2 linked regions of the Macaca mulatta genome follow. The main gene of each other region encodes a partner of the protein of the gene in region 2 in a complex. Links are inferred from orthologs where the notes say so. Each region holds a gene or a part of one and is shown on either strand. Other genes may lie near its edges.

What was found.
Region 1: the proteins of LPL (region 2) and GPIHBP1 are in contact, whole or in part, in a crystal structure (PDB 6OAU), measured with the Homo sapiens proteins. The link is inferred for Macaca mulatta from reciprocal best matches to the Homo sapiens genes LPL and GPIHBP1. Residues at the interface, in NP_000228.1 of Homo sapiens: Tyr367, Gly368, Thr369, Ala371, Glu372, Glu374, Leu403, Met404, Lys406, Lys430, Lys440, Ile443, Cys445, Ser446, Arg447, Glu448, Val463, Lys464, Cys465, His466, Asp467, Ser469; in NP_835466.2 of Homo sapiens: Cys68, Lys69, Ser70, Leu92, Ala94, His95, Gly96, Asn97, Thr98, Glu99, Ser100, Leu103, Thr104, Thr105, Ser107, Trp109, Cys110, Thr111, Asp112, Ile117, Lys119, Val121, Glu122, Thr124, Val126, Met128.

What each region holds. Positions count from the first base shown.
Region 1 is NC_133413.1:153,566,106-153,581,766, reverse strand, and holds GPIHBP1 (glycosylphosphatidylinositol-anchored high density lipoprotein-binding protein 1 precursor), read right to left. Parts: upstream 7,476-15,661; coding exon 7,424-7,475; intron 6,983-7,423; coding exon 6,854-6,982; intron 6,342-6,853; coding exon of another isoform or gene 6,037-6,341; exon of another isoform or gene 5,900-6,036; intron 5,864-5,899; coding exon 5,750-5,863; intron 5,609-5,749; coding exon 5,349-5,608; 3' UTR 5,182-5,348; downstream 1-5,181.
Region 2 is NC_133413.1:21,566,558-21,582,085, reverse strand, and holds the start of LPL (lipoprotein lipase), read right to left. Parts: upstream 6,671-15,528; 5' UTR 6,451-6,670; coding exon 6,363-6,450; intron 1-6,362. UniProt on the Homo sapiens protein: Key enzyme in triglyceride metabolism.

The sequences.
Region 1 (15,661 bases), about 130 Mb from region 2:
CGCTAGCTGTGGCCTGCGGTGTGTGGTCTGATTGCAGAGACCCCCGGGCCCTTTTGCCAGAAGCAGACCCTGGTTGATGGTGCAATTCTAGGGCCACCACGGGTGAACATGAAGGGCAGTGCTCCCGGACTCCCTGCGGGTTAAGCAGGGTCTCCCTGACAGGCACAACCAGGCCCCGCTCACTCATCCCTGGCTGGTTCGGGGTGCCCGCAGCCACCCGCCTCCACGGTTCTCTTTATGGGAGCAAACAAGCTGCAATGACATGGTTTTCGGTTCCTGTTCTCGCTGCCGAAAGCACCGGGACCGGATCCAGACCTCGGGCTGACCGGCTGGGGTGCAGAGAGGCTTCCCCTACCACGCGGAGTGCTGGTGGCCCCTGCAGGCCCTGGAGCTCCAGGAAGGGCTGAGGGCCCGGGAGGGAGGACACCACCTCGCCTTTGGTAGGATGATATCCAGCCGAGGTTTCGCCCCCTTGGCCTTCATCTTGTTTCTCAGACGCTGGGTTTCTTCACGTGGAGGTGGAGTTTGTGTTTCCTGGAGCAGTGGTCTGGAGCCAAGGCCCCGGGAGTTAGAAGCTGTGAGAGCTTTCCGGGAGAGGTGTGGCGGGGTGTCAGGGCTCCCTTTCCCTGGGTTCCTGGGCTCCCTAGCCTGAGGCAGGGGGCAGGAGCCTGAGGCGCTGCAGGGTCAAGGCAGGGCAGTGGCTGCAACTCAGGGCTGCAGGGGAGGCTGGCCGGGCCTTCAGAGCCCAGAGGGGAGAGAAGGGGAAGGGGGAGCTGGCTTTTGCCCAGGGTGTGGTGTGACTTGCAGTGCATTTCAGAGCCTGCTGGGGACACCACTGAACCACCGGATCCTGGGCTCAGAGGATCGCCAGGAGCAGAGGCAGGGCTGAGGGAGGGTTGGCCTCCGAGGCGAGCTTCTCCAGCCGCCTCCTCACCTGCTCCTCCCCTGCATAGACGCCACTATTAAGTCCAATGAATTAAGAGACAAAAAGCTGAGCGTGTTAGGAATGAACTCCACTCCTAGATGCCCGTTTCCAAGGCAACGCTGGCTCCATCCCTCAAAGAGTGGGTGCTGGAGCAGTGCCTGCAAGCCCCAGTCCCTAAGGAGGAGGAAAGGGATGGATCTGGTGGGTTCTGGGGAGGATCCCCAGGGTGCTAGGCAGAGTCCTGCTCTCACGGTCTCTCTTGCACTCCCTCAGCTCTGCCGCACCCGGGTCTCCCCTACCCACGTATCTGAGTCCACCTGTCCCCGAATGGCTGGCAGAGGTTGGGGGCCCGGTCCCGGGGTGTCAGACGCCCCTTGTATCCTTGTGTGTCCTTATGTGGGAGTGGCCAGAGCTCCCGGGAGAGGGAGGCGTGGTTAGGGTTTGTCCCATGCGTTGAGTCAGGCACTGCACCCTGGTCTTGGTCAGTTTTGATGGCGAGGAGACCTGGGTGTGGGCAGACCCAAGGGGTGTGGGAGAGGCAGAGTGGGAACAAGCCTCTGCCTGGCTTCTCGTGATGAGCACGGGCAAAGGGTCCTGAATTCTTCTGGGGCAGGAAGAGACCGCTGTGGTACCGACTTCTGGACTGTGGCTAAGGAAGGAGACCACTACTACTCCTGCTGCCCTCCTCCCCTCACCTTGCCTAGTTCACAAGACAGGAGGAAAGAGAGAAAGCAAAAAGAAAGAAACAAAAGTAAAATAAATAGCCAGACAACCTTGGCACCACCACCCGGCCCTAGGAGTTGAAAAAAGTAATAATAATAACATCAACCCCTGACCAAAACTACTTGTGTTATCTATAAATGCCAGACACTGTATGAAAAAAGCATTGTAAAACTTTTTGTTCTGTTAGCTGATGCATGTAGCCCCCAGTCACGTTTCCCACGCTTGCTTGATTTATCACGACTCTTTTACGTGGACCCCTTAAAGTTGTAAGCCTTTAAAAAGGCCAAGAATTTCTTTTTCAGGGAGCTCAGCTCTTAAGACGCGAGTCTGCCGATGCTCCCGGCCGAATAAAAAACCTCTTCCTTCTTTAATCCAGTGTCTGAGTAGTTTTGTCTGCGGCTCGTCCTGCTACATGGTCACCAGGGTCCTGGCAAGGCCCCCTTCCTGGGACTGTGGCCCCGTCGAGCCAGGGAGCCTGGCTTTCTCCTCCCCAGGACCGTGGCTTCCAGAGCACAGCCAGGCTCGGGGCAGATGTCCAGGGAGGGGCTGATGTGGGCTCAGGAAAGGTCCCTGACACACCCACGTTCAGATCCTCAAGCCTGTGAATATGTCTTCTATGGCAAAAGGGACTTTGCAGCCATGAGGAAGCAGAGGATCTGAGATGGGAGATGGCTCAGGATTCTCCAGGCGAGTCCTAACTGTGGTCACAGGATCCCTGTAGGAAGGAGGCCGAGGAAGAGCTGACTTGAGAAGGGAGCAGTGTTTGGAGAGGCTTCAAAGGTGGAGAAAGGGCCATGAGCCAAGGAGAGCAGGCGGCCTCTTGAAGCTACGAGGGTGAGGGGTGGGTTCTCTCCAGAGCAAACACAGCCCAGCCAGAGCCCTGACTTGAACTTCTGACCTCTAGAGCTGCAGCATGAACTTGTGTTAAGTCACTAGGTTTGTGGTGATTTGTTACGGCAGCCTTGGGAAACTGGTACAGAGGGACGTAGGTTCTGGCCCTGCCCCCTCCCTGCCCAGCGCCCCCAGCCCCCAGTCTCCCTGCTGCCCGGGCTGGATGAGAAAGGGAGGTCCCTCTATGTTCACTCTTGGGACTGACAGCATGCGTTGGGCTCTGAGATGGGGCCCAGGATGTCTTGGCTGTGGCCATCCGCCCGTTGGCACTGCTGACCCACCTGGCTCAGACTCGACTTGGCCTGGGAATCTGGCTGGCTCTTGGCTGGCATCCAGCTCCTCCCCAGCTCAGGCGTCCTGGAGCCTGGGACACCCCTGGGAAGCTGGGTGAGGTTGGCAGGAAGCCCAGGGACTGCACCTTGGATCTGCATCGCCGAGCTGTGTGACCTTGAGCTCGAGCCTCATGTTGTTCCTACCTCAGCGGGCTGTGACAGGGCCCACCCTAGACAGCTAAGCACAGTACCCTCTGCTCCTGCTCAGAGCCGGAGTGGGCGCCAGGAGAAAGCCCTCTGTGGGCTGCTGGGGGTGGTGTGGGGGTGGTGTTGGGGGTGGTGTTGGCAGTGGTGTTGGGGGTGGTGTAGGTGGTGGTGTTGGGGTGGTGTTTGGGTGGTATTGAATGTGGTGGTGGTGGAGGTGGTGTTGCAGGTGGTGCTAGGAGTGGTGTTAGGTCTTTGGATTATGAGGGTCTGGGGCTGGCTCAGGTGGGGCATGTACTATGTTCACACACACAGATGGCAAGTGAAGAGTGGGGTCATGAGAAGTGTTCTGATGACCACAACTCCCATTTACTGAGCACTTGCTCTCTGCCAGGCACGGGGCTGTAAGCCCTGACACATGGCATTCCAGCACTCTGGAGAATCCTCACTGTAGCCCACAAGGAGGGCTCTCCTAGGACTCCTGCTGAACAGAGCCAAGTGGGAGGTGAAGGGGTTGCCAGGGTCGTGGAGCTGGGGAGGGCTGGGCCTTAGATTCGAAGCAGGCAGCCTGACCCCTGCACTGTGCTCCAGTGGGCTGTAGGCATGAGTGTTCGTGTGCACACGTGTGCATGTGTGAGTGTGAAAACGCAAGTAACAGACAGCCCAAATAACTAGCTTCAACACAGCAGACATTTATTTCCCTCCCAGGTAAGGGCACCCCGAGGTAGGCAGTGCCTTCTGTCAGTAGCAAGCCAGGCCCCTCTCATCACGCTGCCCTGCCGTGCTCAGTGCTGCCTCATGGTGCAAAGTGGTTGCTGAGCTCCAGTCACCACTTCAGCCAGCAGGAAGGAGGAAGGGGAAGGAGAAAGACGTGACCTCACCATCTAGGGCATTTACCTTCCGACCCCCAGCTAGGCATTGTGGGTTTTCTTACTAAGGAAAAGGAGAGAACAGTTAGCGGAGGCCTCCCACTGCCCGCCGGGATGAGCTCGGCAGGCAGGACAGGACTCTGGCCTTCCCGGTTCATGGAGTCCTGGTTCATGGAGTGTTGAACTGGTGGGGATTAGGGGTTCTTTAAGTCTCACTGTACTTCTCAGAAGGGGAAACTGATACCCAAGTCAGTGGCTGAGCTGTGGCCCAGGCTGGGCCTCTGCCTGCTGTCCCAGAGCTCTGTCCTGGCACCAGCTGCTGGTGAAGCCAGGACTTGGAGCAGTCACCAGCCCTGCCAGAGGACCCTGGGGACCCCCCCCCCATAATGAGCCGCCCACCTTCCCGGCTCTGCTACCCAGTCCTGCTGCTTCTGCAGGAAGCTGAAGGCCCATTTTGCCCCCTCCCTAGCACAGGGTAGCCTGTCTGACACCCCCAGACTCCTCCATGACACCCACCAGGCTGAGGGCCTGGGGGCTGGAGTCTAGAGGGCAGGCAAGGATGAGGCTGGAAAAATTTCATCTCATCTACTTCTCTCCTTTCATCAACTCCACTCCTCCACTGCTCTAGCCTGCTCCAGCCTCTGCTAGAGCAGAGACAGGTATTCCCAGCCTCAGGTGCTGTCCTAAGCCCAGTAGGTACTGACCCTTAATGGTCACTTCAAGGTGACAGGCACCCACCCAGCATCCGGCCCTTCCCCATCCAAGGCTGCAAGGTAACTTTCCAAGCCAGGGTCTCCCATGGCGGTGCTCATGCCATAGCCAGACAGGCTCCGCTGGCCCCATCCTCTCCATACTTGGTGCCTGTCCCCCCAGCCCCGCACTGCCCCTCCGCGTGTGGCCTCACCCCGACCCGCCTCCCTGTGCCCTCTCATCCTCAGCCCGCCTCCCCTACTATCCTGCCTCCCCCAGGCCCGTCTTTCCTAGGGGTGACTATAGCCTCCCTCCAAGGCCTCTTCCCTCCAGACAGCCGGGAGGCTGACCTGGGGAAAGGCAGGGCGGGCCGGTGTGACCGCTGCAGATGGAGGAATTCCTGTGGCAGAAGTTAAGGGTGAGGATTGGGTGTGGGGGCCCCCAGGCATGTGGTGGGTATCATCTCTGCCTAGCTGTGCTGGTGGGGATCCCCAACCCCCATGAGGGTTGCAGGCCCTGGGGCATGGTGGCCAAGGTCTGGACCCAGCGCCCACGTGCTGCAGTCCTGCCACTCACAGGCGGTGGGGAGAGGAAACCAAGGGCAAAGCCGGGAACTGAGGAAGCAACCGGGCCGGCGGGGCTGTGCTGGCTGGATTGCCCAAGACACTCCAAATTCATTCTCCAAAGCTGGTGCAGGGGCAGGAGGGGAAGGTACCAGACAGAGTGCTGGCAGGGCGAGGGGTGAGTTGGGTCGGGGTGGGGAGGGGCTGTGGGTCAGGGTCTCCCGGCCCCCATTGCTCCAAGGCCAGCGAGGAGGTTGAGCAGGAGGGCTGTGCCTGCAGTTTCGCAGCTGCCCCGGGGGCCGCCTGCCCCCTTGCCTGGTGGGTCCTGGACTCGGGAGCTCTGCCAGGGTGGGACATTGCACAGGTTGAACTGGCAGCAGGTTGTGGTCACCTGGGTCCCCTCGACCGTCTTGGTGATGGGCTGGCAGTTGTCTGTACACCATGCAGAGTGGGTGGTCAGGAGGCCTGACTCTGGGGAGGGGAGTGGGGAACAGATGCTGAGGATGGGCGGGGCCTCCGAGGTGGCTCTACAGGGCTCTGTTCAGGGCCCCTGGCTTTCCCGCCACCTGGGGGTGCGTGTGCTGCGTGTGCTGCGGCCCCACGCCAACTTACCGGTGTTCCCGTGGGCAATGAGGGTTGTGCAGGCCTGGCCATGTGAGCAGCTCCGCGTCAGGTTGCAGTGCTCGTCCCTGGACAGGGACTGGCAGGTATAGCACCACAGCAGCACTGTGGACAAGGTGGGCTCAGGCCCAGGCCGGGTCCATGTCCCTATCCACCTCCCCATTCTCAGTTGTGCTCCCAAAGCCTAGCCTGGTGAGCCTCCAGCACCCACTGCTCAGACGGGCGGGCCACCCCTGACTCGGCCCTGTAAGCCGTGCTGTGTGCGTGAGCCTGTGTGTTTAGGGGCAAGGGATTGCGGCCCAGGCAGGGCGAACTTCCCATCGTCGCTCACCTCCTGTGACAGTGCTGCCCAGGCTCCTGCTGTGGGCATGGAAACCTGGAGGCGAGTCTGACTCAGTCCTGCCTCTGGGAGCACCGGGCCTCACAGGGGACACCTTGTGGGTGTGTGGGGCAGGGCTTGTGCTGAGGGCAGGCCTGGGGGCCCTGGGAGTAGGGGTGGGCTGTGTGTGGTGGGCACGCTGGACGCCCTGGCTAGGGAGTGGTCGGCTTGAAGGTTGGATGCGGCGATTAGCTCTGCTTTGTTCTGGGGATGGGAGAGAGCAGAGGGTGGCCCAGCGTGTAGGGGTGTGTTGGACGGGGGGGGGGTGGTGGGCTCTTATTAGCCCCACTCTGCTCTGCTCTAAGCGCTTCCCTGGTTCCCCTGCCTGCAGCAGCCAATCCATCTCTCCCCTGCACAGGACCGGCCCACCCTGCTGCTCTCTCTGCCCCACAAAACTGAACCCTACCCTGTGGCCTCTGTGCTTGCTGTCTCCACCCTGGGCCCCTACTGAGCCCTTCTCTGCCAGGTGAACTCCTGTTTAACCTCTACATCCTGGCACCACTGACCCTCCCAGCTGGTGGCTTCTTCCCCTGTTCCCTACTCTGGAACTGGGTGTCATGGTGAGTGGAAGAAGTGAGGGGTGCACTGAGTGTCCCCCACTCTGCTGGAGGCAAGCTCACAGCGGGACTGTGGCCTGTTGGCTTCCATCGCACAGCCCCGCCCAGAGTGCTCCAGGCAGAGCAGGCAACGGGGCCCTGGGGTTGGGGCAGCCATACCTCTGCCCCTGCCACCAGGGAGCCTGTTGGTCTCCTCCTCTTCCACCTCGTCCTCATCTTCCTCGTCGTCGTCATCTAGCCTGTGGTCCTCATCCTCGTCCTCTTCCTCCTGCTGTGCTTGCCCTCTTCCTGGCCGTGCAGGGATGCTTGTAAGCCTCAGCTACCCAGTATGGAGGACACCTGCTCTGGGCAAGCATCACACCCCCAACTCCTTGGCCCTCCCCTGCCACCCTCAGGCCCCAGGGCAGCCTACCTGGTGTGGCCTCCTGCCCCTGCACACCCTGCTCACTGTCCTGCAGCCGAGTATGCCCTGGCACACTAGTTACAACAGCAGCTGCTGTGGGCTGGCCCTTTATGGTAGCCCCTCCCCGCACCCCACATAAACAGGAGCACAGATGTTTGGGGACTCTTGGGATCCCAGACCAGCTTCCATCCACACTGCTCTGGGCTGGGGACTCCGGCCTCATCCCCTCCTTCTTCCTAAGCCCCTCCTGGGGTTCCCTGGAGGTCCCCGTGCTCCAGGACTGCACTCACTGGCCCCTCACCGCAGGGTTACCCTTTGCCCCGCACCTGGCTGTCCGCACAGCAAAAGGGCAAGCAGGAGAGCCCTGAGCACCTTCATTTCGCCGACGCTGCTACGTCCCCGACTCCTCGCGCAGCACTCTGGAGCTGCAATAAGTGGGATGAAGGGCATTGCCGTGGGCTTCCCAGTGGCCCCCACCAGCTCCAGCCTCAAACAATGGGCCTCACATGGGTCCCAGCTCCAGGCGCCAGGCCAGGGACTGTTGTTTCCCTCCAGGACCTCTGGGGCTGGAGGGGAAGGAGAAGTCATTGTGGTTGGCCTTGGAGCGTCCCGTGCACCTGTGCCAGCGGTTGGAAGGCGGTGCTGGCCACAGGAGCTGCTGGCCCTGGCCTGCCTTGCTGCTCAGTGCCTCAGCCCTGTAGTGCAGGGCAGGGAGCCTTGCCCCGGATTGGGCCATGCCTGACACCCCCTAACCCCATGTCTGGGCTCCATAGTCACAGGAGCTTGGGGTCACAGACCCTCTATTTGCTGATCACTGGCCAAGCATCTTCATTCCAGAGTCAGCATCACACCCAGGCCCCTTTAAGAGCATTTAAATAAAAACACAGTCAGTGCCCTCAAGCTAAGGCTGTGTGCTCACCTCCTCCTCACCCACACTCAGCAGTGCACTTGCCGGGCCCAAGGCCTCCCCACTATCACCTCGGGTCTTTGCCCCTGCTGTTCCGTCTGCAGTGCTGTTCCTGCTGGTGTCCAGTGGAGAGCTTTCCGGAGCTGTTGGGGGCCCAACCCTTGGCCTTCTGCTGGGAAAGCCATCAGCCCCCACCTGCCTTCTGGCCTTGTGTGAGAGAGAGGCTGCTCTGGGAGAGGCTTGGAAAGCCCAGGTCCCTCCCTGAGGCCACCCTCTCCTCCCAAGCCCCTGCCCAAGCCCCTGGGGGTGGGATGCAGAGGGCAGAGTCTCCTGAGGGTAGCAGAGGGGTGGGGCAGCGGCAGGGGCTGGATGGGAGTCTGGAGCCAGGGTCAAGCCTGGGCGTCTGTGTGCCTTGGCGCTTGGGTCAGGCCCTTCACCTACTGAGGCCTCAGTTTCCCCGACTGTCAATGGGTGGGGTGGGGCTTTCTGGTCGGCCACCTGTAACAGAGGTTGAGTTGGTTCTGGAGTGAGCTGCCTGGGTTTAAGACCCGGTTCCTCCTTCCCCTGGCTCTGGGTCCTGGACGAGCCCCTGGGGTTCCCCAGGCCTCAGCTCCCTCATAGGGTGAGGTGACCATCAAGGGTCAGTACCTGCTGGGCTTAGGACAGCGCCTGAGGCTGGGAATATCTGTCTCTGATGTCTCAGCCACTGAGTCAACCATCCCTCCTTAATTCACCTGAACCTGTCATTCTTCCATTCTTCTCTATCAGCACCCACCCAGCATCCAGCCCTTCCCTGTCCAAGGCTGCAAAGTCACTTTCCAAGCCAGGGTCTCCCATAGCGGTGCTCATGCCACAGCTGGACATGCCCCGCCAGCCCCAAACTCTTCATACGTGGTGCTTGTCCCCCCAGCCCTGCCCCTCCCTGCCCCTCCCGGTGTGGCCCCACCCCCACCCGCCTCCCTGCGCCCTCGCCCTGCCTCCCCCACGCCCTGCCTCCCCCACGCCCTGCCTTCCCATCGCCCTGCCTCTCCCACACCTCACCTCCCATCGCCCCGCTTCCCTGGTGCCCCACCTCCTCCACACCCTGTTTACCCCACGCCCCACCTCCCACACTGCCCCACCTGCCCCACTGCCCCACCTCCCTGTCGCCCCACCTCCTCCACACCCCACCTCCCCATCGCCCCGCCTCCCATTCGCCCCCCTCCCCAGCGTCCCACCTCCCTGTCGACCCACCTCTCCTGTGCCCCACCTCCTCCTTGCACTGCCTCCCATCACCCCTTCACCCCTCCTCCCCCAAGCCCCGCCTACCCATTGACCCGCTTCCCTGGTGCCCTGCATCCCTGGTGCCCTGCTTCCCTGGTGCCCAGCTTCCCTGGTGCCCAGCTTCCCTGGCGCCCTACCTCCCCCACACCCCGCCCTGGCTGCCACTACAGGCTCTTGAATCTAGTGCTGCAGGAGCTGCTCCTAGGAAGGGCACTACTGGGTTTCTCTGGGGGGTCTCCACCTGCCACCTCCCCTCCGCAGGGGCCCAGGCCCTTGCACATTGCCTACCTCTAGGCCCAGCGCCTCTTCAGCCCTGGTGCAAACTGCCCAACCCAGGCCAGTGCTTATTGCGAGAATCACCTGGGGACAATCAGCGCGCATTTGATTCGCAGATTGAGTTAAATTTAGTGCTGGCAGCTGAGAGGCTGTTCCCTCTGTCCCACCCCGGAAAGGCTAGTGGGTCTGGTCCAGCCCCTACAGAAGGTGCCCCCCCCCGGGATGGTGCGCAGGTGTGAAGGGGGACCCGCAGTGGCAGACACCTGGTTCCCCAGCACTGCCCACAGTCGCAGGTGGGCGTGGCGGGCTCTGTATGTGAAGCCAACCCCCTCATCCCACCCAGGCACTGCACAGCCTCCCTCAAGCCCCCAGGGCAGCATCATGACCTCTCAGACGCTCCAGGTGAAAATATGACCCCTAAGACCTTCAGGGCACTGCTGTGGTCCCCCAGTGCCAGGGCTAAGGGCTGCTGGTCCTGATGGCAGCTGCCATGGGTCATTTTAGAGCCTGCACCTGTGCCCCTGGGCTCGACCACCTTTCCAGGCCCTGAGCCATGCCCACACCCCAAGGTACCCTTGAAGGGCAGCCCGGTCACCCCAGCTCCCTGCCCATAGACCTCTGTGCCTTGGGGCCTGGACCTGCCTGCTCTGCTGGCTCATGGGGCTGGCCCTTCTGACACAGCGGCTCTCTGGGCCTCCTCCCAGGGTGGGGCCTGCATGAGTCACATGGCTCTTTTTGGCAGCAGCAGCCTTGGGCTCAGAGCTTGGTGCTGGTTGTGGACAGGGGATGCCCAGCCATCCACACTCCCTCCTGCCTGGGTGACATGTGGGGCTCGGCGGGCAGGGTCTGTGCTGGCATCATGCCCAGGTGGGGCCATGGGCTCTGCTGTCCTGGGGGGGCTGTGTGGCCCTGTCCTGGGCCTGCACTCCTACTCTGTACCCCCTCCCCCGTGTTGACACCAGCTGGAGTCAGATCCAGACCCGTGCACTGCCGTCTCCAGGAGGCAGCCTTCCGTGAGATTGGGTTTGGAATGAGGGAGGCGTTGGGAGGAGGGCACCTTGGGGCTGGGCCTGAGGGGTGAGCAGAGTTTTTCTATAAGGAAGGGTGGGCAAATGTTTCTGACTGAGGGGCACGTGTACGGTGTCCATGCCGGGAGAGTAGGGCCTTTTGGGGCAGATGAGGGCTGCAGATGTGCTGGCCCTTGCCACACTTTCCCTGCTCTGAGTTCCTTCCCACCCTCTCTGCAGCCAGCCTACTCCTGTCTCACTGAACCTGAGTCTGGCAGAGGGAGGGACTTGTTTTGAGAGCAGAGTCCAGACTCTCCTCCCCTGGGGTTACTCTCTGCTTATTTTTATTTATTTATTTCTTTTGTTGAGACAGAATCTTACTCTGTCACCCAGGCTGGAGTGCAATGGCGCGATCTTGGCTCACTGTAACTTCCACGTCCCGGGTTCCAGTGATTCTCCTGCTTCAGCCTCCCAAGTAGCTGGGATTACAGGCTCGCATCATCATGCCCAGCTAATGTTTGTATTTTCAGTAGAGACAGGAGTTCACCATGTTGGCCAGGCTGGTCTCAAACTCCTGACCTCAGGTGCTCCACCCACCTCAGCCTCCCAAAGTGCAGGGATTACAGGCATGAGTCACTGTGCCCGACACTCTCTGATTCTGATGACCCCTCAGTGCCAGGCGGAGCAGGCTGCCCATTATGTGCACTGAGGTACAAGCCCTTTTTCTTTCCCGGAATCCAGCATTCAGAGGTAGCTGTGGGTGGGTGGGCCGGCCAGGGGGAGCAGCTCCCATGGGTCCTGCAGCTCCCAGGCACCCCTAGAACCCAAGAGGCAAACACACCCTGGTCCAGAAGCTTGTTCATTAACTTGTTCACATGTGGTTCACTCAGGTACCCTCCCTGGCCTCCCAGCTCCCCTCCACGCTGCTCTGCACCTGCAACCCTCTGTGCTCAATTTCCTAGTCGTTAGACACCCTCAGCCCCACCACCATAACCCTGGAGAGTCTCCCTTCCCTTGCTCTTCCAAGGGGGTCCCTCTTGTCCCCCACTTGTGAGGGCGACTGATCTCTGTCTAGCTCCTCTTGGCAAAGCTTCAGGTGGTCCTTCAAGCTCCTCCTCCTGCCCATCTTCAATTTCCAGAGGCAGGGCCCAGGCACCATCCTCTCCAGAGACCTTTCCCCACAACGGCACTCCTGTACCCACCTCTAGCTCGGTGCCCTCAGAGGGATTCAAGGCTTGGCTTTAACATCCCCCCATGGCCGTACTGGGTCCCCGTCTTGGAAAAATGCAAGAGCAAGGAATACATTGTTCCTATCATTTATTTTATCCATTTAGAAATCAATTTCCTTCACACTGAGATTGTTAAAAATGTTAAAAACAATGTAGCAATTTCACAATATTAAAAGAGACTAAAAATAACGATGCAGGGATACTTTGCAGCTGTATGACAGTGAAGAAGCTCTTTACATCCTGATCAGAAAACAGGAAGCGGAGGAAGCGGAGGACTGAGTGTCCCGGCACACTGCTTTCTGCAGGAACAGGAGAAGGCAGGATCTGTGCCCGCTGCTGTGTGTTCATGTGGGGACTGCCCACTGGGCTCGCCTTCTGTCAAGGTCCACGTTTGGCCACTGATGTGCAGGGCCCTGTCTTCTGCTCAAACTGACCCCCGCCGGCCCTACCACCCAGCAGAGGCCTGCGAATGAGAGGCCTGGGGCCCCGCAGTCCCTGGAAGGCAGGAAGCTGATGGCTGAGCTCAGGGTGGGATCTGTGTGTGGGCGGGTGAGCGGCAGGCACTCACCCACAGCGGCAGGGAGAGGGCGTGTGGAGGGAGAGCAGCTACCAGGGAAGCCAGACAGGTGCAGCCCAGGGCAGGCAGGAGCCCCTCCCAGGCTATAGCGTGGACCCCCAGCCTTGGGGGGGGGCACAGGGCCTCCTGGCAGCCTCTGCACGTCAGGACCACACCACTGGGATGTCCCGCTCGGACTCCTGGCAGGCAGAACTGACAGTGTCTTCCACAGTGGCCCCACCGGAGGGGCAGGGGAGAGGAGAGGAGGTTAGGTGGGGGAAGTAGGGAGAAGGGGAGGGAGGAGGCCACGGGAGGTGGTCTTGGGTGGGGCCTCCCTCTGCCCGCAGGCGGTGATGGGCAGCTGACCACCTCCACAAAGTGTTGAGGTGGCTCTGGTTACTATGGGGACGCGGGGCCTCCCTGGCCACCGCGATGGCTTCTCATGGTCGATCCTTTGGATCCAACTGAATCTGGGGTGTGAGGTGGGTGAGGAGAGGCCCCAAGCTCGAGGACCAGGATGCAGAGAGCCTCAGGGTGGGATGCCTATTTGTGCGGGGTTGCCTGGCAAGCCACCTGCTGGAAATGGCACCGAACCTCAGAGCCTCGGCCTTCCAAGGAGACACGGTGGGTCCCGGACAGCCACACTGCAGAGGCAGCCTGGGGGCCCAGGACAGGAGTGTGCACATCAGCCCCTTGTACCCCCAGCCTGGGAGAGATGCTGCCCCTGTGCCACAGGACACCCCCCCTGACTGCCCACAGCCGTCATCTGATGCCTGTTCTATTCTGGCTCACAACGACCCGGAGGGAATGGGGGTCTGGGAGTCAAAGCCCGGGCTGCTCCACTTGAGGCTTGAAAGCTCCTGTGTACTGCTCTGTCCTGCGTGCTTTAGGATGAGCCCCCAGAGGGGGAAGTAAGGAGCAGGGGTGAGGGCCCAGCAGGGGTGGCAGGATCACCTGAGCTCCTGTTCGTGAGTGGGCTTGGGTGGGGGGTGGATGGAGAGCCCTAGCCCCCAGCCTCACCCAGCCCTCCAGGAATGGCAGTGGCCACCAGCAGCCCCCCGTTCCTCCCCACTGTCGGGCTCAGTCTAAGCCCCCTCCCCGACCTGCCCAGCCCCCGCCCCTCTTCTCCAGCCTGACTTATGAAGCTCTGTGTTTAGCCCCAGGACGCAGCCCTCATGTCCCAGCCAGAGTCTGTGGCTGCAGAAGCCCGGGCTGTAAGCCCTTCTTGAGCTCTCACAGCAGTGCGGGATGGGATCTCACAAAGAGAGGTGCTGGGAGGCAAATCACACAGAGCGGGATGGGGCTTCCGCACCCCTGTGTCCTGGACACACTTCCTGTCAAATCACAGAGCAGGATGGGGCTTCCGCACCGCTGTGTCCTGGACACACTTCCTGTCATCTCTGTCCCCATGACACAGGCTTCACCTTCTCTGCTGTATCAGGCAGGGACCCCAACTGTGGGGAACTGCAATGGACTCTGGCTAGTTGGAGCAGAAGAGGAGTTTGTTGAAAGGTTCCTCGGAGCTCACAGGTTGAGAGGGAGGGCTTAGGTGCAGAAGACCCTGGGGCCACTCCTGTCCCGCCCCCTCCCCAGGGAAGTGGGCTGTGGTGGCCGCCTTTACTGTAAGACTCCATGGATCAGACAACACCTGTTGTGGTGGGCTGCCCAGCGGCACAGCCCCTTGGAGCCCAGTGCCAGGCACATGCTCACCATCTGGGCCACTAACCAGTCAGAGGCTGTTTTGTGGAAAGAGTCGTGATGTGGGTCAAACAGTCCCATCAAAAGACATGTCCAAGCCCCAGGGGCTATGTATTAGTCTGTTCTCATGGTGCTAATAAAGACTTACCTGAGACTGGGTAATTTGTAAAGAAAAAGAGGTTTAATGGACTCACAGCTCCGCATGGCCGGGGAGGCCTCATAATCATGGTGGAAGGTGAATGAGGAGCAAAGACACGTCTTACATGGCGGCAGGCAAGAGGGTGTGTGCAGGGGAACTGCCCTCTGTAAAACCATCAGTTCTCCTGAGACTTATTCACTATCACGAGAACGGCACTGGAAAACCTGCCCCCATGATTCAATTCCCTCCCACTGGGTCCCTCCCACGACACGCAGGGATTATAGGGGCTGCCGTTCAAGATGAGATTTGGGTGGGGACACAGCCACACCATGTCACCTGAATGCATGAATGTGGCTTTGTTTGGACAAACGGTATTTGCAGATGTCATTAAAAATCTTGGGAAGACATCATCTGGAGTTAGGGTAACAGGTGTCCTTATAAGAGAAAGCAGGGGAGGTGTGAAGTGTGGAGACAGAGGAGACTGGAGTGATGTGGCCACAAGCTCAGGAAGGCGGGAGCTGGAAGAGGCCAGGGGGGGACTTTCGCCTAGAGTCTCTGGAGGAAACGTGGCCCTGCCAGCTCCTTGACTGCTGCGAAGAGCTCCTTGCTGAGGGGCTGTACCTTGCTCAGACCCTGGGGTCGGCTGTGGCTCTCCTCCTCCCAAGGTTGCCACAGGCTCTGTCCAGGACTTGGTCTGGCACAGCTGGGGGACACCATTGGGTCCACCGGCCCAGGGCAGGGGCAATGCCGTTCCTCCTGCAGTCCTTGAATCACTGCTGACTCTGTGGGGACAGCAGAGCCAAATGCAGGTGTCTTTCCTGCATGAGGAGCTGAGCTCCATCTTGGTGGGAGCGCTGGTCCTACAGTTTCGTGGGCGAAACCGACCCTGGCCCCGACCACTGGGCCCTGGGAATGCACTGAGTAGTGGGTCCCACATTTCTCCAGCTCCGCTTTTGGAGGTGAGTTTGCACTAGGACATCTGAAGTTTCAGCAGCTTTCGGCTCTCCTAGGGCTCAGGGCTGTTGGTGCCAGGGCCGCGTGAGACCTTTGAGGCTCCTCAGTCTAAACCGAGGCACAGAGCTGGCCAGAGAAACCCTGCAGCAAGACGGGAAGGGAGTGCTGCACCCCTGGCAGACGAGGGAACCCATATGTGTGTTTTCTGCTTATTGGCAGGGAGAAAAACATATTTTCCCAATCACTAGCCCTGTGTTCCAAGAGCCAGCGTAGACCTGTGGGTAAATCGCCACCTGAGCATCTGATGGTTGCTGTTATTCCTCAGGTCCCGCTTACCATCCACCAGCCGGGTGGTGAGTCGGGAGCGAGGGAATGGGCCCTGTGCGTCTCACGTCCCTGGTCGTGGTGCTGATGGCTGGACCCCCGGGTGTGGCCTCACTAGTGGTCACGTCCTGCAGATCCTTCCTCCAAGGTGGGAGAGTCTTTAAGATGAGCCTACATGCTGCAGGAGTAGCCGTTGCACCTCGGGATTGGG
Region 2 (15,528 bases):
CCTTCCCAACCAGAGAGCACTTTGTTAGCTTTACTATTTATCTGATAATGGAAAAGAGTATTGAATACTTTTGATCTAATTCTGCTTTCAGTGCCTAAGAACTTTTTTTCCTGTTAAAAAGTGCTTTAGAAAATTTAAAACTAAGTTAATTTCACCTTCTCCCACATCTTTCCACCTTAAATAGCTCATATCTCCTCTCCACTAGTCTTATTTTAACATATTCTATTATCAATCTTTTTAAAGCAGAGATGATCTGAACAACCTGGCAGACAGATCTAGCTTACCACCTATTTGCCAAATTGATATTTTAAGAATATTGCTCAGTACAACTCCAGAGGCTGCCATTCACTTTTAGTCCACTTTCCCCTCGAATTATGCAATTTGGTGTCCCTGGAATTGCTGGTGGTTTTGAAATGACCACAAATTTTCTTTGAAATAACCAAGACTGGCTTTGTGTAGTTCCGTGAAAAAAAAAAAAAAAAAAGGTCTATTCAATCCATAGATACTGTACCAGATTGCATGTATGGCTCACTGACAGCTCCAGTTTCCCTCTGTTGCGTCCAGAACATGTAATGAAAAGTAGGAAATTTACACATCCTCTAGTTAATTTGTATTTAGAGACTTTCATTTTACTTTTAAAGCAAATGATTTTCATTTGACAGGAAAATAGTGCCACTCTGTGTGCTATGTGATGGTTTCAATTCTATGTCAGATATGAAATAGTAAATTTTATTGGCACTTAGTCAAACTTTCCTTTTCTTGGATGTTCTGATAATTTTCACACTACCTGTGTTTGCAACCCCCCGAGGATGTCTCAGTGTCCTAAAGATTAATGTGCTTCCCAAACTTCAATCAGCTCTCTAGTAACTGACTTAGACCATGTAGCGATGGGTAGGACGATGGACCCTGGCTGTGGGGAAGTCAGTATATTTGGTTGTTCCAGTGCATCCTGTGATTGCTATTGGGCAGCAGGTGGACTGATTTGATGGAGCTGTTAATAAAGAAACTATTAGTTTCCATACATGGAAATAATATAAGTGACTGCACTCATCTAACTAGACTGTCTTTTACCATGTCCCTTAGAAATTAAGGCCACCTTAGAATTGAGAAAGAAGAGGAGTACAGGAGGAAGGGAAGGGAAGCAGGAAGCGAAGTGGGAAGGGAAGCGGGAAGGGAAGGAGGGAAGGAAGGAGGGAAGGAAGGAGGGAAGGAAAGGCAGGCCTCCATCCTGAATTTAACTTAGCATCTCTGTACTACCTGCCAATCAGGTCTCATCAGAAATGTCCATATTAAGCACTTAGGGGAGAGTTTTGGGTAACACGGAAGTTACAAGTTATGCCTTTCCTGACTATGGAATCTTTATTCCTAAACTCCTAAATAAGTAGCTACAAATCTGAGTGTGTAAACAAAGACGAAGAATTTATTCTAACATAGATAATAACTCACAGAGACAAAATTAGGCTGAGAAGTTAAAGCACGTAGAGAAAGATAAATGTATAGAGGGGAAGAGCGGGAATTCTTGTTGCTAGAAAGAGGGAAGCATTGAGCATCCCAGGAAAGCAACAGATGATGCTTTAAAGGCAGATCAAAGTCATCACATGAGTGACATGAACATTTATGCAATGACATGAGGTACAAGAACTCAGTGAGAATGCAATTCTCTTTGGAATTTCTATTCTCCCTTTATCTCCCCACCCCTTTCTCTCTCTCTCCCCTTTTCTCTCATTCCTACAGAACTTCCTTAGTAATTCATTTGCTCTCTGAGACTGATAGTCATAGTTATCGACTCAGGCAGTGTTTGTTGAAGAACAAACTGAATTACTGATGTGGTCGATTTGGTGAAGAAAAACATCAATATCATGATCAGACTGAATTGATTGGTCTGCTCAGATATTCCAATTTAAACAATGCTCTTGACTTATCTAACAAGCAGCTTTATTTCATTTTATTTTATTACTATTTTTTGAGACGGAGTCTTGCTCTGTCGCCCAGGCTGGAGTGCAGTGGCGTGACCTTGGCTCACTGCAAACTTTGCCTCCTGGATTCAAGCCATTCTCTGCCTCAGCCTCCCAAGTAGCTGAGATTAAAGGCGCTTACCACCACGTCTGGCTATTTTTGGTATTTTTAGTAGAGATGGGGTTTCACCATCCTGTCCATGCTGGTCTTGAACTCCTGACCTCATGATCCACCCACCTCAGCCTCCCAAAGTGCTGGGATTACAGGCATGAGCCACTGTGCCAGCCTACTTTTTATTTTTATAAAAATTGTTTTATTAATGGAATAGTAAAAATAAATCCTATATGTATCACCTGAATTTTACCCTGAATTTTCTCCAGTATTAGGGGTAACCTTCCACACTACTGAAAAGAGGGGTTAAAAAATAGGTTCAGAGATGTGTGTTAAAATTTCCCCACTGAATTAGACCATCAAGTATAATAAGCCATCATTATTTAAAGGGATCTTGTGGACTGGTTAATGAAATAATTTGGTTGAGTGTCATCACATGGGCATATTTAAGTCAAGATTTTTTTTTAAGTGAAATACAAAATGTTTACATGATTAATCTGAGACGACTTTCTTCTTGTTGCTGAGGATGGCAAATGGAAACATCTAGTTGTCTGAAACTAACACAATGAAGGTCCATGATTACTTTGCCAACAATTGTTTTATTGGGGGGAAGGCTGCATAAACATGGGGATGCTATTCTTTTTAGTTAAAATGTAAGTGCTAACTCCTATACTATTCTTCACCATAATTAATTCTGCAGCCAATTTTTTTTCAAAGGTACATTATTGATGTCATGATAGCTGTATCTTGAATGAAGGGCTGTTGAGGCTCTAAATGCAAATCCATTTACCTACATTTACCACGATCCCTCCAAAAGCATCTGACTTTTCATGCTACTTAAAAGCTTCTCTAAACTTTGTACTACACTCAAATTAATCCAAGCCAGAATGGTATTACCCCTACCTGACTGCATAGAAAGAGACTTCAACATGTATGAAAACACAGATGAGCACACACACCAAAGTGGGTTGAGTGCTGTGAGCAAGGTGGCTGGATTAGACAAAGTGTGGCCACCCCAATTGGGTCATCTTTGTTCTATTCTACTGTCAAATAATGGTGGGAGACATTTTCTTTCATTCAATCAAACAGTCAAAATCACCACACTGCTTAGATAGCATCTGATCATTCTGAGAGCACAGACTAGGAAGAGCAAAAGGAATGAACTGGCACAAGTTTGACAGGCTCACTTCCAGCAGAACTTTCATATATATATATATGAAATATATATATATATATATATATATCACCCAAGGTAATCCATTCCTTCCTTCATAGTAGATACCTATTGTTGAGCACTCAAAGGGTGTCAGTGCACACAGACAATCTTAAAATGGCCACAAGACGGCAAAGTGCAGTCATGCAGTCTAATGAACAGACATTGTTCAGAGTAAATTTCAAACTCTTAGCCTCTAAATTGGAACCCTATCCTATTAGTCCTTCAGGAGCTAATGGAGCCTTCAACTTTTCCAAAAACAGAATGTGACAAAAGCACTGTGACAAAGATTTTACTCCCAGGTTAGAAAGTCTCTGTTGATAAATGGTATTTAGTTCACTGTGGTGACAAACTCATTTAATGGATAAATGATCCCAAGCTTTACACTGATAAGTGTTTTTGTTGTTTTTATTGGCATAAAAGTTGGAATTTACCTTATGTGTATGATACTCGTGTCTTGAATACTTTCCTTACACTTTGTGATCGAAAATCATCACCAGCCATCACTTTGATGGCTGGAACATCTTCATATTTAAGTCAGTGCGGTCTTTGTGGTGGCCACAGAAGAAACTAGCTGCAAAATGTTGTAAGTTGCAAGGCACTTTCTTGAACCATCTGGCATAAGGCAGTAAACTGTATGGCCTGGTTTTTCCTCCATAATAAAGCAAGAATAGAGAGCTGAGTTAAAAATAAGCTGCTGAAAGAAAGAAAATTTTCCATCACAGCTCTTCCCCCGTACCTGACTCCCACCTTTTAATACAGCTATTAATCATTCCCTCACTGAGCTCTCCTCCAGTGACATCTGCTGTTTTGCTCTCCTTTGCCATCATGTTCAACTCGGAAGATAGCCTGGAAATTCATGATGGCCAGGCAAGCAGAACTTCAGCTGCTAAGCACTGACCATACTCTCCCTCTCCTAGCTCTTCACATTTCCTAACTGGGACCATGCAGAAATGGTGGTGGCTCCCAGGACAAAGTGCCTGAGGGCAGTGCCTCTTGTTCTCATATTCTTAGAAAGAATCCAGAATGAATAAGTAAACTCAAGAGCCCAGAGGAGGTGCTGCCTCTCTTTCTACCACACTAACATCTTTCTCTCCCTGAAATTCTTACCTTCCTAGATGAATGCATCTGGGGGAGAAAGAGGGAGAAAGTTTCTGTGATGAGAGAGGCATTATATATTGGGTGAATAGAGTGAAAGTGGAGGGGATGAGAGGCAGTCGTTTCAAGTCTACTTTGAAATAATCCTTCCTTAATATATTTACAGCCTAGAAAAGCATGTGTTGGCTACAACTCAATAAACTAATTAATCACATAAGTGTCCACTTAAAGAGTCAAGAGTTACACCGGCCTCAGAGAACATTGGCTTCATCCAGTTAAGCAGTACAAAGGGAAACATACCCCACCTAAGATGTTGAAGACGTTCTCATCGAGTCTCCAGTGTTTTCAAACTGATCCAATAGAAAAGATACTTTTTTTTTAAATCCAATTTTGCTTTGATGGAATCTATACTTAGCGTTTGTGTGTGTGTGTGTGAGAGAGACTGTCACCCAGGATGAAGTACAGTGGGACAATCACAGCCCACTGCAGCCTCCTGGAACCCCCTGGCTCAAGTGATCTCTCCTCAGCCTGCTGACTAGCTGGGACCACAGGCACAGGCCACCATGCCCGGCTAATTTTTGTATTTTTTTTTTTAAATAGAAACGGTGTTCCCCTATGTTGCCCAGGCTGGTCTCGAACTTCTGGGCTCAAGCTATGTTCCGGCCTCGGCCTCCCAAAGTGCTGGGACTACATGGGTGAGCCACTGCTCCCTGCCAACTTTTTTTTTTTTTTAACCTAACAAAAATGTTTCACAAATTAATGCCAAAATAAAACAAACGTTCAGTGGCAATCCAAGCCATAGACAGACTCCATCATAACTTGAACCGCCGTGGACGTGCCGCCTGAGAGCACATCCAAGCGACACCGCCCTAATTGCAATTCCAGCAAGGAAGAAAAGAGGAAATGTTGGCCCGTGTTATGAATGGCTTCAGCTGCTCTCTATATTGCTGTTGCATGTTAACTGAATCGAGTTTTGAATTAAGCAGACTGCCTCCATTGCGGACAGGTCGAGACATTCTCATCTGGACCCGAACGCCTGGACCCTAGCGAGCGGGCGGTTCCCTGGCTGCAATGACCAAGGTTGTGCCCGCAGCGCCCGGCAACCCCAAGTGCTCGCAGCCGCGCGGCGGGGCCGGGCGCCCGGAGCTGGCCTCAGCCCCCAGGACAGGAAGGGTGGCCAAGTGCAAACCTGGCAACCCCCGAGTCGGCGGCCACAGATTGCTGATGGCTGCGCCACGTTTTCGGGAGGGTCAGCCCCTCACTGGGTTCTCAGGGCACTAAGTAAAGACGGCATGTGAGCCTGGAAGCTGGAGAGAGTCCCGGGCGCGCTATAGCGGGCAGGACGCCGCGTCCCCAGGACTCCGCGTCCCCAGGACTCCGCGCCACGCGTTCCTTCTACACCCTCAAACCCACTGCCACTCCCACAGCGGAGCGAGGGCGAGCGTGCCCCGTGCGGCTGAGATTCCCGGAACGCCTCCCGCGCCTCGGCTTCCCCAGAAGGGGCCCCTGTCGGCCCGCGCGTCCCCAGGCGGGGGCTGAGCCGCAGTCCCAGCCAAGCCGAGGTCACCTTGGCCCGTGCGCCTTTCATTCCGGGGCCCCTCCAGCAGGGAGGTGACTACAGGTCACCGCCAGCCGGGCCCTTACTCCCCGCCTCCGCTGTCCCGCCCCCCACATCCCCGAACCTCTCCGGCGGAGCCCGCGCGCCTGGGAACGCGGTCCCAGCCAGAGTGGAAGGGACAGCGCGGGAACCCGGGAGAGAGAAAAAGCGGGAACCGGGCGCCGCCGCTTCACCATCGGGAGGAGATTCCCTCCCGGCCCCTCTTGGATCCCACTGCAGGGACCCTTTCGGGCTAGTGCCCAGGCTGGGAGAGTCCCCGGGCGCATCACAGCCCCTTCCAACTTACTTTTTCATATCCTCAGTTCGGATGGCAAGTGGCCACCCGCCGGGTTTGCAGTTGGAGGGGAGTCTGCGTGCAAAACTTACGGTCGGCGGCGGCCACCCCTCCGCGGGAGGCGGTCAGACTCTGGAGCCACACGGCCAGGGCCAGCAGGAGCAGGGCTTTGCTCTCCATCTCGGGGCGCGTCCCTCTGGAGGAGCTGCAAGGCGCGGACGGACTGATGAGCCGGCTGAGCCGGGGGCGGGAGAGGGCTGGAGCCGCGGTCCGGCGCTGAGCAAGTCGCCCTTTAAAGGGGAGGGCAGGGCAGCTAGAAGTGGACAGCTTTCCCTTGAGGAGGAGGAAGAGAGGGAATCGAGTCTGACACTGTTTTCACGCCACGGCTGCTTATGTGACTGGAAATATGCAAATAAACCTCATCACCTATTGGCTATAAAATCATAAGTTGGGGGGAGGGCCCTAAATTCACTTCTGAACGTTTGAGCAAACCAGTAACGAGGATCAACCCTGCCAACGAGAAGAGGAGGAAAGGGCAGACGGAAAAATTTGCTTTGTTAGGCTCCTGTTCGCTTAGCCTAAGGGTTTCCACTCTCCCCGGGGCCCCCTGTCTAAGCACCAAACACAGGTTTATATCGATTCACGTTAAATACTCAACAATCACCTGTTTTCCAAGGAGGGACAGTTTAGCTGTTAAATTACATTTGGCCGGCACTTTAATACACCTCTCTTTTGATGAATCCTGTTTGTCACTTGCAGTCCTCCCTCCCTCACCCCGCACCCACCCCCACCCCCGCAAAGTCAATGTAGGGATACAGGGACACACATTGCGTCCCAGCTTGTGCTCGTACAATCTGGTGTTTTAACATTGGCAAGATGGATCAGCTTATGTGATGGAGAAAAGCCTACTTGCTCTAACTAGTTTCTAATTTTTGCCTCATGCAAATTATTCTCAATCCTCAAACTCATCAAGGAATGCAAGGATAATATTTTGTGTTCAGAGGCAGAACATCGAGGTCAAATAATCTAAAGCCGTATTGAGTTATAAGTGAAAGAAGATAGTCACAAATGACACATATTGTATGATTCCATTTAAAGTGTCCACAAAGAGACAAATCTATAGAGACCAAAAGTAGATCAGTGGTTGCCTGGGGCTGGGTAATCAATAGGGGAGGGGAAGAATAGAGAGATTTTGGGGGAGTTGATGACAATGTTCTAGATTACGTTATGGTGCTGATGCACAGCTCTGTAAATATACTAAAAGCAATAGAATTGTGCACTTTAAATGGGAGAATTATATAGTGTGTAAATTATAGGTCAATACAGCTATTTTTAAATGGGTAAGAGGCATGCACATAAAATAAGAAAAAAAAAATTGGATACTGTGCTTTTCTGCCAAAATGCTTGGAATACTTTTAAATATCTTTTTAAATATAAGGGATTTATATTAGCCAGGAAAGACAATGAAGTGTATCCCCAACCCCCTCTCAGTTTATGGCTGAGAAACTGACTCATCAAATCAGAACCTCCAATCTACTACATTTATAGTCTGAATATTTTTAATGTCCACTTTTACTCATCCCACCCTCCATCACACACACGCACAAACACAATGTACAATTGTAGGTTAGAACAATGAAAAGCTTTTTTAAAAACTGGGCTCGCTCTTTAAGTTTTTCTCGAAAAATGAAATAAAAGTTGATAATACCCAAATATTTCAAAAGTCTGTATTCTGCACAACAGAGTTCTATCTTTAAGTTGACGCATTCCATGCCACAACACAACACGCTGTCTTGTATTGCAATTATTACACAATGTACTGTGCACATTCACTCTATCCTACAAAGTATGTAGAGAATCTTGAAACCTGCCAAAAATTAAACTTCGCAAAACTTTAGAAGTGGCAGAACAGACCATGCAAGGGATGAATAACTATGATGTGGCCGTCCTCCAAAAATCATGTAGTAAACTCTAATTTTAAAAAATGACAGAAGATGAGTACAATTGCATTGGATGTGTTCATGGTGTGAATGGCATATAAACAGACGTGCAGAAATGCCTGCTATCTTATATAGAATACTCCTGCAGCCTATTTTCATGCATAAATGTCTTTTGATAAGACAACCAAACTAAACTGCACTTCTGTGCCTTTCAGAAAACTGCAAGGAGATTTTATGTAATTGCTAAGGTAAAGTCTTATACTTATAACGTATTTTTAAAATGATTTCCCGGGCTAACCAGATAACAAAATTAAAGCCCTCAAGAGTTGGAGGATATATAATATTTAAATATGAATTCAGTTTGAAGTGAACTATGCCATTAGCACGTCCAGTAGAGTTGAAGAGATTTCCAGGAAGACTTAATTTATAGCAGCTTAGCCTGGTTAAAAAAAAAAAAAAAAGAAAAGCAAGCCAGGTTGGCTCCTGTCCCAGGGCAAGCGCCGAGCAGGTGGGTGTGGCGGCAACACTCTCTCCTGATTGGCTGCGCTGGGAGCGATCAGGTGCCTGCCTTCTAACGCAGAAACTCACATGATCTCCAGGTCAGGATTGCATGTGCGTTAGTGAGGCGACTCATCCAAACTTCCGCGAGGTTACTCGGCCTTCAGTAGCTAAAGGCTTGACTTTTTCCATAATTGGCATTTCCTTTATAACAAACTAAGTTTTAGGTGAGAAGAAGCTAACGGTATCCCTGTAGCAGGACACTTGCCCCTGGGACACATTTAAAATGACCTAAGTAAAAAGTCTAATGTGCATACTTAATGAAACAACTTGAAGTTCTGGATGTAGGGAAGCATTATTTCGCCAGCCAGCCAGCTAGCTAGCTAGCTAGCTTATTTTGATTGAAGGCCTGCTAATTGCACTGGGCACTTTTCATCTTCTCCTGCGTTTAATCATTACAAAAGTACTCCAAACTCAGTAATATTACCCTTCTACAGATGAGGGAAGATGAAACTCAGAGAAGATTAAATAACAGCAACCACAAATCATAAGATGTTTTTTCTTTGGCGATCCCAGGAGAGAAGGAAAAAATGTATTTCATGTGCTATATTTTAACGTTGCAGCAGTTGCAAACAGGAGTAGCCTGGGAATCAGAGTTTTTTGTACACACATATTTTAATGTAGATTTTTATTTTGTGGCTTTCTTACTAAAGTAAAATACAATGAAATGTGTAAGCAGGCTCTAAAGATCATCAGTACTGAGTTGGATCTTATCCTTATAAAAATTATAATTAATGTAAGAAAACATACTGATACAAATAAAATGTATAAACGCAAAGTCATAAATATTAAAAAATATTCTAAAATCTGTTGACTTTTTAAATAAGAAAAAACAAAGATGTTTACTAAAAATTGTCATAAAAGGCTTTGCCACCACTACCTACTCACATGTGTCCCTTAAATTGTAGCACAAACTGGCTCTGAACAGAAATGATAATGTGTTGCTGAAGGGAAGGATGAAGTTGAGGCTGGCAGCTCTTGGATCTGGAGATGTGGTAAGGATAGGGGAAAAAATAATATAATCAGCATTAAAAGATTTGTCTGAATAAAATTAAGAAGATACATTTCAAAATAATTTTTAAAAAGAGAGAATTCTTTTAAAAGCCAGTGCATTGCAGTAATGCATCCAGGAAGGGACTTCTCTTCGCCAACATGGTGAAACCCCGTCTCTACTACAAATACAAAAATTAGCCAGGCGTGGTGGCAGGTGCCTGTAATCCCAGCTACTCAGGAGTCTGAGGCCCCAGAATTGCTTCAACCCGGGAGGTGGAGGTTGCAGTGAGCTGAGGTCGCACCACTGGACTCCAGCCTGTACTACAGAGTGAGACCCTGCCTCAAAAAAAATAAAAAATAAAAGAAAAAGAACAGAGCACACTATCCAGATGATGTCCCAGAGGAACTGGGGAACCAAGGGGGAGCAGGATGCAAATCTTTCCTAGAAGACAGCTCACACACACTAAAGAATGTCCCACAAATAACCCACTGGATTTCTAATTCATGTTCATTTATAAGTAGTTTCCCCCTTTTACAAAACAAAACCAAACAAAATTAAAAATTTAAGCCCGTGTAGATGAAAGAAAACTTTGAGACCCAGTTAATGATTGGAATACGGAACATCATGAATGTTTTTTGCTGATGGTTTCACATTCAGAGATAACTTCAGACCCATGTCAAAGGCCTGCTCTGAAAATGAGCTTAGCCCCATTTAGCAGAAGATGAGTTTGAGATGCCCCCTGCTGACTTCCTGGTGATATTGTAATGTCCCAAAAAAGCCCTTGTAACAGGCTTGAAAAAGAATTGACTTAATGAATGAATATATTCTAAACTCTTTTATTTGAGCTTTCTTTTTTTCCTTTTTCTTTCTTTTTCTTTTTTTGAGACAGAGTCTCGCTCTGTCACCCAGGCTGAAGTGCAGTAGCACAACCAGGGTTCACTGCAGCCTGAAACTCCCAGGCTCCAGCAGTTCTCCCAACTCAGCCTCCCGAGTAGCTGGGACCACAGGTGTGCACCATCATGCCCGGCTAATTTTTGTATTTTTAGTGGAGATGGGGGTCTTGCCGTGCCCAGGCTGGTCTCGAACTCTTGGGCTCAAGTGATCTACCTGCCTCAGCCTCCCAAAGCGCTGGTATTACTAGCGTGAGGCACTGGGCCAGATCTGAGCTTTCTTGTTTCTTTTGTTCAACCATAAGTAGCCTGAAGGGAGGTATTGCTCTTTCCATGTCTGGTGTATTTCCCGCAACAGGTACTGGTGCTGGGAAGTTAGGAGGTTCTTAGCCAATAGTTGTTGGGTGAATTAACAACATTGAGTAAAAGATGATCCAGTGTCAAATGGGGGAGAAAGCAGGGTTCCTTTTATTTTAAACTTTCACTAGATTTATTAATTATGAAACTACAATTACAAAACCACAAACACACATATACATACACAGACACATAATTAAGTTTACATAGCCCAAATCTGGGTTAGAAAAATAGAGGACAACTTCATTTGATTGGAAATTTTGCTGGCATATCATTCTCTTCTTATTTATTTATTTATTTGAGACAAAGTCTTGCTCTGTCACCCATGCTGGAGTGCAGTGGTGCAACCATGGCTCACTGCAGCCTCTACCTCCTGAGCCAAGACAGTCCTCCGAGGCTCAGGCAATCCTCCTACCCCAGTCTCCTGAGTAGCTGGGACTACCAGCGTGTACCACCACACCTGGCTCATTAAATTTTTTTTTTATTTTTGTATAGATGGAGGTCTCCCTATGTTGCCTAGGCAGTCTCAAACTCCTGGGTTCAAGTGATCCTGCTGCCTCATCTTCCCAAAGTGCTGGGATTACAGGTGTGAGCCACCTCATTCAGCCTCTTCTTCCAATTAACTCTTTAGTTGAAAAAGTAATCTGTTGTTAACCAAAAACAAAAACACTAAAATCGAAATTTCAAGCAGTGCAAAATTATGTACAACGAAACAAAAATCTTTCTCTGATCTAAGACTTCCAGTCCCCTAGTCATTCTCCACATGCTGCTAGTTTCCTTTCTTATAAAGTTTACCCTTCCAGAAAAGTCTATGAACACACAAGCATAAATGTGTTTGTAAATGTGTGCATGTGTATGTATTTATCACACATACACAACTTATTTTTTACAGTAAACAGTAATGTCAGCATACCATGAGCAGTCTTCTGCAATTTATATATATATACACACACACATATATATACACACACATATAGATATATATATAGTTGTTGTTGTTGTTGTTGTTTTTAAGACGGAGTCTCGTACTGTCGCCCAGGCTGAACTGCAGTGGCATGATCTCGGCTCACTGCAAGCTCCGCCTCCCAAGTAGCTGGGACTACAGGCCCCCGCCACCACGCCCGGCTAGTTTTTTGTATTCTTAGGGATAGAGACGGGGTTTCACCCTGTTAGCCAGGATTGTCTCTATCTCCTTACCTCATGATCCACCCGCCTCGGCCCCCCAAAGTGCTGGGATAACAGGCATCAGCCACTGCACCTGGCCTGCAATTTATATTTTTCACCTAACAACATGTCTTAGAGATTAGCTCACTGAGGAAGAGTTCTTTTTTTCTTTCTTCTTTGGGCCACATAAGATTTTCTTATTTGGTTTTATCTTCATTTATTTAATCAGACACCTATTAATAGTTACTTAGATATTTTTGTAATATAAACCATGCTACAATAAATATAAATTCTTTAAAATTATTGAGTCAAAAAGCCTAAGTGTTTATTATTCTAATAAGTAAAGTCACCTGTTTGCCAATGAAACTGCACAAATTTACATTCTACCTACAGTGTAGAATGAGAGATTGTAGACATTCTGGCTATGACTGTGTGGTGCTGAACTATTTAACAATCTTGCAGGTGTAATGTGGTCTCTTCTTTAGTTTATATTTTATATCATCATCATCATCATCATCATCATAACTAACCTTCATATAGCACTTACTATGTGCCAGGCATTGTTCTAAAAGCTTCACATATATGAACTACTTTAATATAAGTCAGGTCTGTTGAGATATAGTTTAAATATACAATTCATCTACTTAGTATAGAATTAAATGGTTTTTAGTTTATTCACAGGAATATGCAACTGTCACAAATTTTAGGCCATTTAATCACCTCCAAAGAAGCTCTGCACCCATTAGCAGTTAATCCCCCATCCCCTGCATCCAACTGTAGACTAGTTTCTGTCTCTATAGATTACCTATTCTAGACATTTCACATATACATTCATATAGTATGTGGTTCTTATAACCAGCTTTCAGTTAGCGTATTATTTTTAAGGTTCATCCATGTTGAAGCATGTATCAGTACTTCATTCCTTTATATTGCCAAATAATATTCCACTGTATATCCCACATTTTATTTATCCATTTATCAGTTGACAGATGTTTGGGTTGTTTCTGCTTTGGGGTATTTGATTAATGCTGCTATGAGCAGTTGTGTACAAGGTTTTATGTGGACAATATGTTCGCAGTTCTCTGGAGTATACAGGAGTAGATTTGCTAAGTCACAAGGTAACTGTATGTTTGAGTCTTTGAGGAACTGCTAGACTTCAAAACACCTCTTTCTCCATGGAATTTTCTAGGTTTCCCTCTGAGAGTTAGTCACCATCTCCTTGTGTTACAAAGCGGTGTTCATATCTTGATTGTTGTACTTATAATATCATATTATTCACTGTCTGTGTGTTACATGAAATTGTGACTTTCCCAAAGTTGGGGAAGTTGGGGATGAAATCTCATTTATAGTCCTGGTATCCTTACCAATGAGAATAGAGCTGGATAGCAGACTATGTACTCAAACATTTACGTGAGTAAGTGATTGAATAAAAGAAGAAGTAAAAGTTTGAAAGGTGAAAATCAGTATATACTGCCAGCTATTTAGTTGATCTTAGAACTCATTTTTTAGTTTTCTTCACAAAATAATTAAATAAAAGAGCCAGAATTAAAAACGATAAATTGAAATCTTTGTGTTTTAAAGCAGTTTATGTATAAATGAACACAGCAGTGTGATCCTATTTATAACAGAATACAAGAAATCAAAACCAAAAAAGAAGATTCAGATCTGAGCTTACTTTGTCATAAACATTGTTAATTATATGGTACCATTTTAATTTTTATTATGTGACTTAAATGCGTTATAGCAACTGGTACAATTTCACAGGTGACTTTTTACTCTTACTTCAACTGATATTTTAATGTAAGGTTAATTGCCATTTTAATGAAATTTTTATGAATCTATTTTGTCATCCCTGTCAAAGAGTACTCTTTTATCCAAAAAGTTATTTTATGTTGTCCAGTCCTAATATTTTTGGTTTGAGATATTTAAGTAGTCTAACAATAACACAATGTATTACATACAAGCAGGCTTCACGGTTGTGAAAACAAAAGCATCACACTCAGAACTAAACATCTGCCTGGGCTTGGCCTTGGTTTTCAAACAACCGTCCAGGAAAATCAGCACACAGATTGGTCTTCAGAATTACGTCTAAAAGCTCTACTCTCGGACTTCACACATCAATCACCTCTCAGTACACAGGCATTTGATTGACCCATGTCTAACACTCTACACAGCCATCCCAAGCCTTCTGCACACACTCTACCCTAGACATGCTCCTGGGACCATTTCATGCTTCAGAAGGTCAACCCAGTTGACTTATTACTTAATAGCAATGTAAGAGGGTTAGGAATCTGCCAGGACCTAGAGCCTACATTACAAAGGCCTTCTCTAGAGGCCTTGAACATAGTTTGTCTGCTTGACTGGCCAGGAGAAATTAGGCAGTCCCATCAGCTCACTCTTCTGTGAATGAGGGAGGTTTTTCCATCTCAAACTTCAGCTCTAGCAACTTCAGTGAAGAAAAGTGCCAAAGAAAATAGATCTCATTAGGACTTGATGGAGAAGACTGAGAATAGGTGGCACAGTCTACAGTGAAAAGGCAGGAGACCGCAGAAGTTGGAGCTCTGGGCTGATTCCTGGGCCAAGTTGGAGTGGGCCCCAGGGTTACTTGGATATCAGCAATCTCAGATATTTAAGATAGAATGCCCTGTTCACTCAAGCACTGTAAATCTTCACATGTGATGTGCTGAAGCTTACTGACATCAGCTTGAGAAAATTGATGGAATACTATACAGCCATAAAAAAGAATGATTTTGAGATCCTGAAGGAAGCACTAAACATGGAAAAGAACAACAGGTACCAGCCATTGCAAAAACATGTCAACATGTAAAGTCCATCAATGCTAGGAAGAAACTGCATCAACTAGCAAGCAAAATAACCAGCTAAGATCATAATGACAGGATCAAGTTCACACATAACAATATTAACCATAAATGTAAATGGACTAAATGGTCCAATTAAAAGACACAGACTGGCAAAGTGGATAAAGAATCAAGACCCATCAGTTTGCTGTATTCAGGAGACCCATCTCACATGCAGAGACACACATAGACTCAAAATAAAGGGATGGAGGAAGATCTACCAAGCAAATGGAAAAAAAAGCAGGGGTTGCAATCCTAGTCTCTGATAAAACAGACTTTAAACCATCAAAGATCAAAAGAGACAAAGAAGGCCATTACATAATGGTAAAGGAATCAACTCATCAGGAAGAGCTAACTATCCTAAATATATATGCACCCAATACAGGAGCACCCAGATTCATAAAGCAAGTCCTTAGAGACTTACAAAGAGACTTAGACTCCCATACAATAATAATGGGAGACTTCAGCACCCCACTGTCAACATTAATCAGATCAAC